2 linked regions of the Caenorhabditis elegans genome follow. The protein of the gene in region 1 purifies or fractionates together with the protein of each later gene. This does not show direct contact. Each region holds a gene or a part of one and is shown on either strand. Other genes may lie near its edges.

Region 1 (5,941 bases):
TCTCCTTCTAAAGCTTGTTCTTCTACCGTAAGTCTTCCAATCTGAAGTTTCAACCTTTGTGACAAATTTTATTTTCAGGAAACTTACTGGTCGTCTGAGATAAGTCAGCCCAACTCCAGTGAAAAGGAGATAAGAGAAAAGAATTGATGGAGAAGAGAATCCAAGTGATGTTCCAAGACGGAATAGGTACAGGAATACGTCGAGGATTGGCTGAAATTAAATTTTAATTTTAAAAATTTAGGAGTTGGATCTAGTTTGTTATACAACTACGTTTGTGTTTCAGTTATGAAACTGTATAACTGTATTTTTTCCGATTTAATGTGACTATAATTTATTCCAACTGAACATAGAATCGTTAATAGCCTTCCAAGCCGGTACAGAATGTCTGCCTCCCTGCCGGCTTACTTTCCCATTACTCTTGAAAAGAAATCCTCCGTGTAATAATTTTCTTCATACCTTTGAAAGATTTGAGTACAATTCAACAATTCCATCACAGAATCTATCGACGTCTTGAGTCAAAAGTTGATCAGCATTCTGAATTCGAGTATCCAAATTTGACATTTTGTAGAATGTGAATCCTCTGTAATTATTTTCAATTTTCCAGAACAAAAATCAATTTAAACTCTTACTTAAGATATTGTGAATACAAATGAGTGGACAATCTTTCACGGAAACGAAGTTTCAATTCAGCAATTCCGAATTTCAGAATAGCATTTGTCACGGAGATTGCTGGCAGATTCAGAACGTATTTGAATGCTTCAAGAGCGAAAAGAAGCGGGTTACGGTCAATGATTGAACTGAAAACTTTCTTTGAATTCTTGATAATTTATATTTTAATTCAAAGTTCAAAAACCTACGCTTCAATCTTTGTCGATGTAATAATCATGTAAACATCTGCATAAGTACGACAAAGAAGAGAAACTGCAATGAGAATAAGATAAAATGATTCCTTCGAAAAGAAGCCAGGTATCAAAATTTTCAGAATTCTTGCCAGTTTGCCCAGAAAAACTCCATCAACATGAGCTTTTTGCCCTTTTGAGCCATCTTTCTTCGTTTTTGCAACCAAGTGTTTTGTTCCTCTGAAATATTGGGTTTGTTGCAAGCTTTTTACTTTAGAATTTTTTGGCTGATATTTTTTAATTTACATAGATATTTAGTAAAAAAAAACTCGGAAATATTTTTGATTTCTCAAAACTTACAGTTTTGGCAATTTGCCAGGTTTCTTACAAATTTGGACTTTTATATACATTTACGTCGTATTTCAAAAGCTCTAAAATCTTTAAATACAAATGACCCATCTTGAGTAATATTTCAGAAAGGTTCCCACTGAAACCAGTAATTTTTAATGTTGTTAAAAACAAAAATCATGTTAGGGGTGATTTCCAAAAACATAGGATCACTTTTAATAAATAAGTCTATGTTTTTATTTTATCTGGCATTCGGAATTAAGATCGTTTTGAAGCTTATAATCGTTAAAAATGAACTTTCCAATCTGATCAAATTGTAGTTTGATAGAGATTCATATCGATTTAGTTGGATTGATAAGAAATGTATTTACCTGATATCCTGTTTGTATAACTTAATCAATGCAAAAACTGCAAGCATTCCAACCACTCCAGGTGCATATTGTTTTGGAGGAATTGCTTGTCCAAGTAATTGAAGCTTTGAAAAAACTGCCATTTTTGAATACGAGTAGGTGCGCAGGCAACCAAATTGTCTGTGTTCAGTTCATCATCTCATCGTTTTCTTATCACCTCCCATAAGGTCATAACGAGAGATAATGTGAAATTGAGAGATTTAGAAATATAGAATCAGTATGCTATAGTGTAGTCTTAAAGGGACTATATGTAGCCATATTAAGCCTTCTTTTGGCAAAGAAATATCTGATGATCATTTTCAAAAACCCAAAAGTTCCTGGAATCTTTAAAAACTATTTGGAATTTGATTTCAAAATATGTGAGATCTGGTATTTATGTAAAAGCTATTTTACATCGTAAAGTTGAAATTCTTGGGTGTAACGCAAAAAGGTACGCTTTAAGGAGTACTGTAATTTCGTTGATGCGGTGATTTTTTTTCGATCTTGCAGTTTTTCTCGTGTTTTGTTAAAATTATTTCGTTTTTATTGTTATAGTTATTCAAATAAATATAATTTTATCGATAAAAAAATAAAAAATGATGAAACTTCTGCAGAATCGGAAGTTTGAAGTCACAGTAATCTCTAAAGGCGCGTACATAAATATGTGCATTCAACAAAATATTGTCGTTTTGAGACCGGTTACCGTAATTTCGGAGCAAAAATCTCAAATTTTCGCGTCTGGGAAACACTTCGCTTCAGTAAATTTCGGTTGAGAAATAAAAAATAATTAAAAATGTAATGCTTCTAACTCATCGAACTATGGAGTTTTCAGTCTTTTATCGGTTTGTTTTTATTACTTTTTCTTATCATTCCTTTTACATTTTCCATTTGGAAGTTGTTTGTCTCACTCACAGCTCGAACCAATGCCAAAATTCTATGGAATAAAGAGAAACCATTCATACATTTATTGCTATTAAAAATATACAAATGAATTTTCAAAAGGCATAAAAAGAATAACATCAGATTGAAAATACATCCTACAAATTGGGGAGAAGGATTTACAAGAGACCCGAAGCAATAGAGAAATGTTAAATATATTTAGTCGGCGGATGGCATCACCTTCAAGCGGTCGAATGCAGCCTTGTCGAGAGATTCACGCTGACTTGGATGAGAGATTTTGATCAATTCGTAGGCACGTTGACGCATATTCTTGCCCCAAAGTTGAGCAATTCCATATTCGGTAACGACATAGTGAACATGAGCACGGGAAGTAACAACTCCAGCTCCTTCGTTGATTGTTGGAACAATCTTGCTCTGTCCCTTCTTTGAAATTGATGGAAGTGCAATAATTGGCTTTCCGAGACCATCGTTTCCAATTGCTGCTCCACGGATAAAATCAACTTGTCCTCCAAATCCAGACAAGAATCGTTTTCCAACTGAATCGGACACAACTTGTCCGGTCAAATCAATCTCGACGGCAGAGTTGATGGCAGTGACTTTAGGATTTTTGCGAACAACAGCTGGATCATTGACCCAGTTAACATCTCCAAACTCGATCAATGGATTATCGTTGAGGTAGTCGTAGAGCTTGGTCGATCCGTAAACGAATGATACAACGAGTTTTCCTGGATGGATAGCTTTTTTGGCATTGGTAATTGCATTTTTCTCGATCAAATCAAGAACTCCATCTGAGAACATTTCAGTGTGGATTCCAAGATCTTTGTGGTTGCTGAGAGCAGAAAGAGCAGCATCTGGGACAGCTCCGATACCTGAAAATAATATTATTAAAATGTTTAATAATGACCAGTTTTCTAACCCATTTGAAGAGTAGCTCCATTATCAACAAGATTTTCTGCAATGATCTTTCCAATCTTCTTCTCTTGGTCATTTTGTGGACCAATATTACGTTGATGAAGCTCGAATCCGTCAGCCTCATTGACAAGATAGTCAATGTGTGAAACGTGGATCACTCCATCTCCGAATGTGCGTGGCATATTCTTATTGACCATTGCTAAATAGAATGAGGTAATTGTTTGCAAATAAACTTTAGAAATTACCGATAATCAATGGAGAGTTTGTTACTGCAGCACGAGCGGTATCAACTGAAGTTCCCAAAGAGCAGAATCCGAATGCATCTGGTGGTGAGACCTGGATGAGGGAAGCATTGAGCTTGATGGCTCCCTTGCGGAACAAAAGTGGAACTTCGTACAAGAAGCATGAATTGAAGTCAGCGATTCCGTTATTGACGCAGGCTCTCAAATTGTGTCCGGTGAAAAGGGAGTTTGATCTGATTCTATCTGAAATATAATTTAATAATAAGTGTTGTAAATTGATATTTTTAAATAAATTAGGTGTATTAAAAGTAGCTACGTGACAAAAAGAACATTACTTATTTTTTCAATGTTTTAAAATCGATTACAAATCGAAGAACAAGTGGCGTGCTAGTTAACAAAGTTCGTTTATCTTCATTTTCGTGTAAATGCTCACCTCTGACTCCTTCGGCGGTCCATGGTGTAGCTCCTTCCAAGTGCAAGTGATGAAGCTTAATCTTGTTCAAGTTGTTGGCGACAGCATGCTCCGAAAGACTTTGAAGAAGTGGGGTTGGTGTGGCAGCGATTCCGTGAACGAATACATTGTCTCCACTTTTGATATCGCGTGTTGCTTCAGCCAACGATACAACCTTTGGTGACTTTCCAGCGATTGGGAATGCTACTTCTCTTTCATCTCTGAAGATACCAGCTGTTCTTGAGCACGCAGCCGAGGTTCCGAGGGAGCGAGATGTAAGCCGAGAAAGCATTCTGGAAAAATTTAAAATTAATAAGTTAAAATAAAATAAATAAAGACGGAAACAGGAGAAATGATAAAGTGGCATGATCATGGAATAGTCTTATCAATTTAGTGTTCAGAAAAAAGCTGAGCGGACAAAAATTGAAGAAAATGGAGTCGAAAATCAAAAATAGTAGAAAATTGAAAATCACTTAGTTTATGAGTCCTTGCACTTTTCGTACTGGATCAAAATTGGAAAAGGTTTGCAAAAAGATTGCCTGGCAAAATAGTAATCAGGAAAATTTAATTTTGATGTCTGGCGACTAGACGAACAAGCTCTACGTGTGCATTTATCTTAATTGTAATGCAAATTTTAGATTACCATTAAAAAGAATATCTCGATTTTTTCCCAAAATCAACACTTTCGTAACTGTTGACCGCTTTTCGGTATATTTTTGATAAATGAAGTAAATAAACTGTGAGAGGTTTGGCATTTGGAAAAAAATAAATTTTATGAAATAGGAGAAAAACAGAAAAGAACAAACAATTGTCGATAAAACCGCGTCGATAAGTGTTTTGATGATTTTGTTCTTTGCTGTTAAACAATTATTTTTAAAGCAGAAGAAGTAGAAACTGCACACGAATAGTCAATTTCCTGTAGATTTGATTTCTATTGATAGAGAAAATAATGAATCAAAAACCAGTCCCGAATTGGTTTTTTGATTCGAATTAAGTATTGGCGAAAACGAAATAATTCGGTCTAGGTAGTGGCAAACTAGTTACTTAAAAATAGTAATAATCTGGCGCTGAGTTTTAAAAATGAATAAAAGTTTCTGATTTGAAAGCCTACGTGACATCTAAAAGAAGAGCAGGGGAAAATCGGAGAAGGGCAGATTGGGGGTACAACCGATTGCTGCAAAACAACGTGGTCGAGTGCTGAGGGACTGGGTCAGAAGTTTGTGAGAAGGGGAGGAGCGGCCGAAACAGCTCAAAGCATCGAACAGAAAACGCTCAATCGTCAGGCACGTGGTGGTGACTGAGCAGAGAACAGTGCGCTGGGCCTATTGAACGAAGCAAAATGGGAGAATGTTGGGAGAGACGGGCGGTCATGTCGCTGGTCTTGGCGCTGTCGTTCTCTTTTTCTTTCATGTTGAATTTGAATCTCTATTGCTGAAGACGCAGTGACGATGTTAACGCTGTAGGCGGTGTTTTTGTTGAAAACCAAGAGAGAGAGAGAGAGGAGAAAAAGAGCATGATGAGATGAGAAATAGAGAAAGAGCAGTAAATATTCACCGAATTTTTGAACGGTAAAAAACTTGTATATTATTCAATAAAAATACAAATATTGGAATCCTCTTATTGAATGTTAAAATACAAGATGATAATAGAAATACAACGAAATTTGGACATAGATTTTTCTTTCAATAAAATAAATGCTGACTGACTATTCAGGCGCCACACCAGCACAAGTTTAGAGAAAAAAACAAGTGCAAGCACCTTCACGCAATGGCACAGAATATGTAAAATGTCCAACTTGACAAATGTGAGTAAAACCGTATAGGTGTGATCAAAGTACTCGGAAGGAAAAATGAAAAGAGG
Region 2 (5,799 bases), on another chromosome or scaffold:
GTCAAAAACTCCCAGAAAACATCGCAATGTTCTAAAAATTTACCAAACTTCCTCGAACTTTTTCAAAAACTTCACAATTAATCTTTAGAAATGTTCTAAAAACTTTTTGACATTTTCAAAAGTTCCCAAAACCTTCTTGAAGATTGTTGAACTTTTTTCAAAATTCCATAATATTAAAAAAAATCATGATCAGAAGATTCCAACGTTTTTCTAGAAAATCGTCTCACTAACCTCCAATGATTTCCAGAATCATATGAGTAATTACCCCAGAGACACCAAACAGCTATTCCTGAAGCCACAACCCATCCAAAAATTGTAACACTCCAATGAAACTTCAATCGAGTTTTTGTGAACGTTGCCAGAAAGTAACCAACAAAAATTCCAATGAAAAAAGACGGAACTCTTGTCCATGGCATTTCATAGACTACTGATCGGAAGAGCTCGTGATGGCTGAAATTTTCTCCGAGTTGATAGATTGATACTGGGGGAGTGACAGACCCATTTCCAATAAAATCAGCCGGTAATTCGAATATTCCAAATAAGAAATACTCAACGAAGACACTGAGAACGCATCCACCAAATATAAGAATCACTCCGCCTGTTATAGTAAAAAATAATGTGATGAGAATAATTGGAGAAATTAAGAAAAGTTGAGTGTCAACTGCCAGAAGCCAAGTGATACGGTAGCACTGAAAGTAATCAGAAATGTTTCAATAATTAGAAATTTAGAATATAAAACCAACACTTTCATCGCCGGCAAAATTATTGATGTACAATGCGTTTTTCCACCAATTGGACTCACAAATTTCAGCTTCTTTGGTGAGAACATCTGAAGTTCAAGATATAATAAAGTTTAAAGCTGCACGGAAAATTTAGGAAAATTTTCTTACTCATTTCAGAAGCCATAAATGGACCTTGAATGAATTTTTCATAAATTGTAAAAAATCCGATAAACGTCATCAAAGCAGGCGCTGACCGCAAGTACCTATGAGCATAGTAATAAATCCATGTCCAAGGTTTCAAAATAGTCCCGTATTTTGGTTTATTCCAAAAGAATATGTAAGCCTCTGTGATTCCGGACAGAACAAATAATGTGTCTATTGAGAAATAAGAGTTCAAAACCAACTGTCTTGAAATTGACAGATTCTCAATAAAGTCCGTAGAGCTGCCAACGTTGTTGTAAGGAAATTTAAAATTATAGGTGTGAGCGAAGACAATCCAGAGAATTGTTAGAGCACGGATACAGTCTAAAGACCGAATATGATGAGGTTTGTGCTCTTTTACTGACAAAATAAGTTCTGCGTTGCTCCAAAGAGAAAATGAGAGAAAGGATCGAAGGACTGAAAATTTAAATTATCAGTTTTCCAACTCATAATATGTACCATATGCATGCTCGTTCACCGCAGACATTCCTATTTCCTTTTCTCGAAAATAATCTACAAACGTTGCAGAAACAACTAAAGAAACTATGAGTGCCATGAACACCCTGAATTATGAACTTATTAATTCATACAGATTTTTCAAAAAACTTACGAAAATGCCCAAAATGCCCATTTCTTTTCAACTTTAATACCAGATTTAAATGCTTGGCAAGTGGTCAATGGAAATGAAATAATTTGATTGAAAATCTCAACAAGATCACTTTCACTGCAAGATGAAGGCATGCAAACTGCGAATCGAGGAGTTACGTGCTCATGGGTTTTAGGATCACATGTAACATTGTCTCCGATGTAAGTAACAATATAACTGTAGCTTGTCGTGTACTTTTTTCCGCTGACTTTCTGGCATTCAGCATAAGATCCTTCGAAAAATGTATTGATGTCAAGAATATCTGGTGGTAGCTTTCCAAATGCATCAAGCTCTGAAATATGAAGAAGATATATAAACAGATACAGATTTCTAGTGAACACTCACGTTGAAGAGCAAACACATTATCTTGAACTGAAGTTAGTTCAATCAGTGTACAATTTCGAAACTTCAGACAATCCGCTGTAACCTTTGCAATTTCTTTCAGAGAATCAATGAATAATTTTGTCTCTTCAAAACATTGCCGATTCAAACTTGATGTTAGATGAAGAGGATTGGAAAGAAATGGCAGCACTCTCAAGGCGGCATCATATTGTGCATTTGAAACTAGAAATAGACAGAAAATACTAAACGATATTGAAAAGAGATTCATGAGTTCGTATTGGTCGTTTTCATTGGAAAATGACATGGATTTGTGTCAATTGATTGTTTGTGGGTGGTGTAATTTGCATATGAGATGTCATTGTGGGGAATATTTATGGAAACTAAGAACTCAGAGACCACAAACGGATTGAAACATACCGAATAAGATGGCACGGGCTGTAAAAAATACCCAGAGAAAAGGCGAGCGGCATTTGCTTTCTGCAAATACCTGAATTTCCTGTTTGTCGAGCATTTTTAAGGCAAAAAATTACAAAATCACAAAAAAAACGGCATTTCCAATTTAAAAAACGGCATTTTGTCGACATTGCCACTTGCCAAAAATTTTCAATTTTGGCAATTGCCAATTTTGCTGTTTGCCGGAAAATATTGTTTTTTTTTTCATAGGCGCAACATGACAAGACATATATATTCAACACAAATATTCAATGAAAACTTAGTTAAACTTTATACTTTTGATAAAATTGATCCAACCTTTATTGTTTTGTCTGAATTTTTGGGAATTTTTTAATTTCAGAATAATTGGAGCATGTATAAATATAAATAACACTTGTTATAACTGTGCTATAATATTTCAAAAACTGACTATAAGAACATCGAAACCCGCTGAATTTTATATTTCACGGAAAAGTTCATTTAATATCAAAATGCATTGATCAAACCATGCTTTAAAATTATTTCCTGCCCTACATTGTGTTTTCCAATGTTCTCTTGATCATGTTGCCCACATTGTGCTTTGTAACCCCCACTACATTCTAGCCTACCACCACTTCTGCGTCTCTCCATCTCTTTACCTATTTATTGATTCCAGGTCTTATTCTTCGATCACTCTTGACCATTTGTTAGTTTGAAATAATGGCTCATTGTTTGCATCCAGAAAAGTTTTTCCCTGTTGTCAAATCGGTTGCATTGCCGCCTGGCAGCTTGAATGTAAGTTATTAAAGATATTGAAATTTTTAAACGATTGTTTATTCAGGGAAAAGTTGCACTGGTCACTGGTGGAGGAACTGGACTTGGAAAGGCTATTGCAACAACATTTGCTCATCTTGGAGCAAGTGTGGCCATTGCTGCAAGAAGACTTGATGTACTTGAGAAAACTGCAGATGAGATCCGATCAAGCACCGGTGGTGTTTGTGAGCCATTCCAAATGGACGTGAAGGATCCAGCAAAGGTTGCAAAGGCGTTTGATGCGGTTGAAAAGAAGTGAGTTGCAATGGCTCGCACGTGATTCCGAAAACATAGAATAATTTCGGAGATCACTTATCTATTTTTCTCTGGGAGTACGATAGGTTAACGTAGGAACATAATGATAACTAGATTCAAGCTGTACTCTAGTGCTTACGAATATAGTGATTAAAACCTAATATCTTGTTCCAACTTTGAACTGTAGATATTTGATTTCTAACAATATTTTTTCTATTAATTTTATAATTTAAGACTCGGCCACACTCCGGACATCCTTATCAATAATGCAGCCGGAAACTTCATCATGGCAACCGAACGTCTCTCACCGAATGCCTACGGTACCATCATTGATATCGTTCTGAAAGGAACTCTCCACGTCACCACCGAGCTCGGCCGTCGCTGTATTCAACAAAAGCGTGGAGCCAGTGTGCTCAGCATCACAACACTTTATGCACAATCTGGTGCACCATTTGTGGTTCCATCAGCGGTTTCGAAGGCTGGTGTCGAAAATATGACAAAATCATTGGCGTCTGAATGGGCGAAACACGGATTGCGATTCAATGCGATTGCTCCTGGACCAATTCCAACAGAGGGAGCATTCGGAAGATTATTTGCCGGGGAGTTGAAGGATTCTGGAGATGCTATGAAAGCATCAGTACCAGTTGGAAGACTTGGGCATCCGGAAGAAATTGCCAATTTGGCAGCGTTCATGTCGTCTGATTTCATGTCCTGGATGAATGGAGCGGTACGTTTTTTAACTTTTGATTATTTTACTGCATTTCTACTACTTTCAAGGGAGGCGCATTTAGGAGAATGGGTCCTGCCGCGCGAAATGCGTCTAAAGAAAAATTTAAGTATGTGCCTTTAACTTTAAGTTACTGTAGAATTTTTAAATGTTCTCATTTATTCTAGTTTTTCTTATATTCAATTAAAAAGAAAACTTACTTATATTGTAAACTACCACTAAGAATTCGAAAGTTCCCCTCAAAACAAATACAGTAAGATTAAAGGCACACTACTCAATACTATTTGCCTAAGAAAAAACAATTTCTATTTTTTTAACTTTCAGATTATCGATTTCGACGGTGGCCAACAGCACATTCATCATGGATCCCATATGGGACAATTCCTTCACGAATGGGACAACGAGAAATGGGAGGAAACGGAGAATTTGATCCGTGGAAGAACTGGAAAAGAAAAGAAGAGCAAGCTGTAAAAATGTACTATTTCGAATTTAAGCCTAGTGTAAATTTATCATATGTGCCATAAACTTTACGAGAACTATTTTCTATTTATTTGTCAGAATCTTAAAAAAGGGAGGGCAATAATGAGAGCACATGATTTTCTCGCATTTTTACCTATGGATTAATATAAGTCCAACACGAAACTGAGGATACAAAGATTAGATGAAGAAAAATGAAAAAAAAGGGAAAAAGTGTAAACACCGAAATTTAGAAAATGGGAACAAGGCTGGTGAACTTCGAGGATAAAATAGAAGAAAATGGGTAGATGATTGGAAAAGTTCAGAAGGAATCGTTTGTACTTTTTCAGTGATCGAAACAAAACCAGCTGTGGAGATAGAGAGGAGGAAGTGAGAAGGATCCCAAGAAATATATTACAAAAGTTTGACAGAGAAAAGAAAAAAAGCGGATAAATAAAGTGTGTCAGAGCAAGAAGAAAACTATAACAGATCAACAAAGAAAACGACGAAACGAATGCTGGAAGAGCTAGACATATTTAAATAAATACAACTTTCTCTAAATGTAGAGGGGCTTACAGACGGGGGAGTTTAGAAGAAACATGCTACACTCATGAATAAAAAAGAGATAAGATGATGGAAAAGTATGAAGCTACGATTTGTTCAGCAGGAAAAATCGAATCGAATTTGTACATTTTTACAGAACTGTCTAAACAGTTTGATGACGGGCTGCTGGGCTGATGCGGCCGGTCTGAAAATTATTGAAATTGATTTTTTGGTGAGAAAAATAATCAAACCTTTGTGTGAGTATTGGGTTTTTGGGTTTGTGAGTTTTTTTTTTCTTAATTTAATATCAAAAAAAAAATTTTAAATGACTTTTCAAAAATTCCCAAAAATTGTTATGAGCTAAACTTTTAAGAAAAAGGGCTAAATTTAAAAAGTTTTAAAGCGGACATTCTAGCTGGAATTTCAAAAACTTTCACATTTGACCAAATTATCAACACATCCAAAAAAATCCGAATTTGCGCTACTTTTTGACTAAATTTTTTAATTCAGGCCATTTTGGGCTGGAAATTTTGAAATTCTGTATTTTAAGCCATTTTTCGCAGAAATAGCAAAAATGTTCCAATTTAACCAAATTATCAACTGAAATTTCCAAAAAAAGGTCAGAATTTGCTGGTATTTTTTCAATACATTTTTGGTTGGGATTATAAAAGAAAAATTATCAA

Evidence for each region. The genes of interacting proteins can lie anywhere in the genome.
Region 2: the proteins of acer-1 (region 1) and decr-1.1 fractionate together in Caenorhabditis elegans (co-fractionation; one large-scale study listed by BioGRID). This does not show direct contact.

What each region holds. Positions count from the first base shown.
Region 1 is NC_003280.10:6,886,027-6,891,967, forward strand, and holds acer-1 (Acetyl-CoA hydrolase), read right to left. Parts: upstream 4,375-5,941; 5' UTR 4,374-4,374; coding exon 4,064-4,373; intron 3,874-4,063; coding exon 3,634-3,873; intron 3,588-3,633; coding exon 3,393-3,587; intron 3,346-3,392; coding exon 2,675-3,345; 3' UTR 2,527-2,674; downstream 1-2,526. Other genes in the region: pmp-2 (Peroxisomal Membrane Protein related), read right to left, coding at 1-41, 88-210, 457-580, 630-797, 858-1,079, 1,559-1,680.
Region 2 is NC_003283.11:13,779,447-13,785,245, forward strand, and holds decr-1.1 (putative oxidoreductase F53C11.3), read left to right. Parts: upstream 1-2,952; 5' UTR 2,953-3,042; coding exon 3,043-3,117; intron 3,118-3,163; coding exon 3,164-3,390; intron 3,391-3,624; coding exon 3,625-4,117; intron 4,118-4,441; coding exon 4,442-4,588; 3' UTR 4,589-4,663; downstream 4,664-5,799. Other genes in the region: F53C11.4 (SH2 domain-containing protein), read right to left, coding at 5,280-5,321.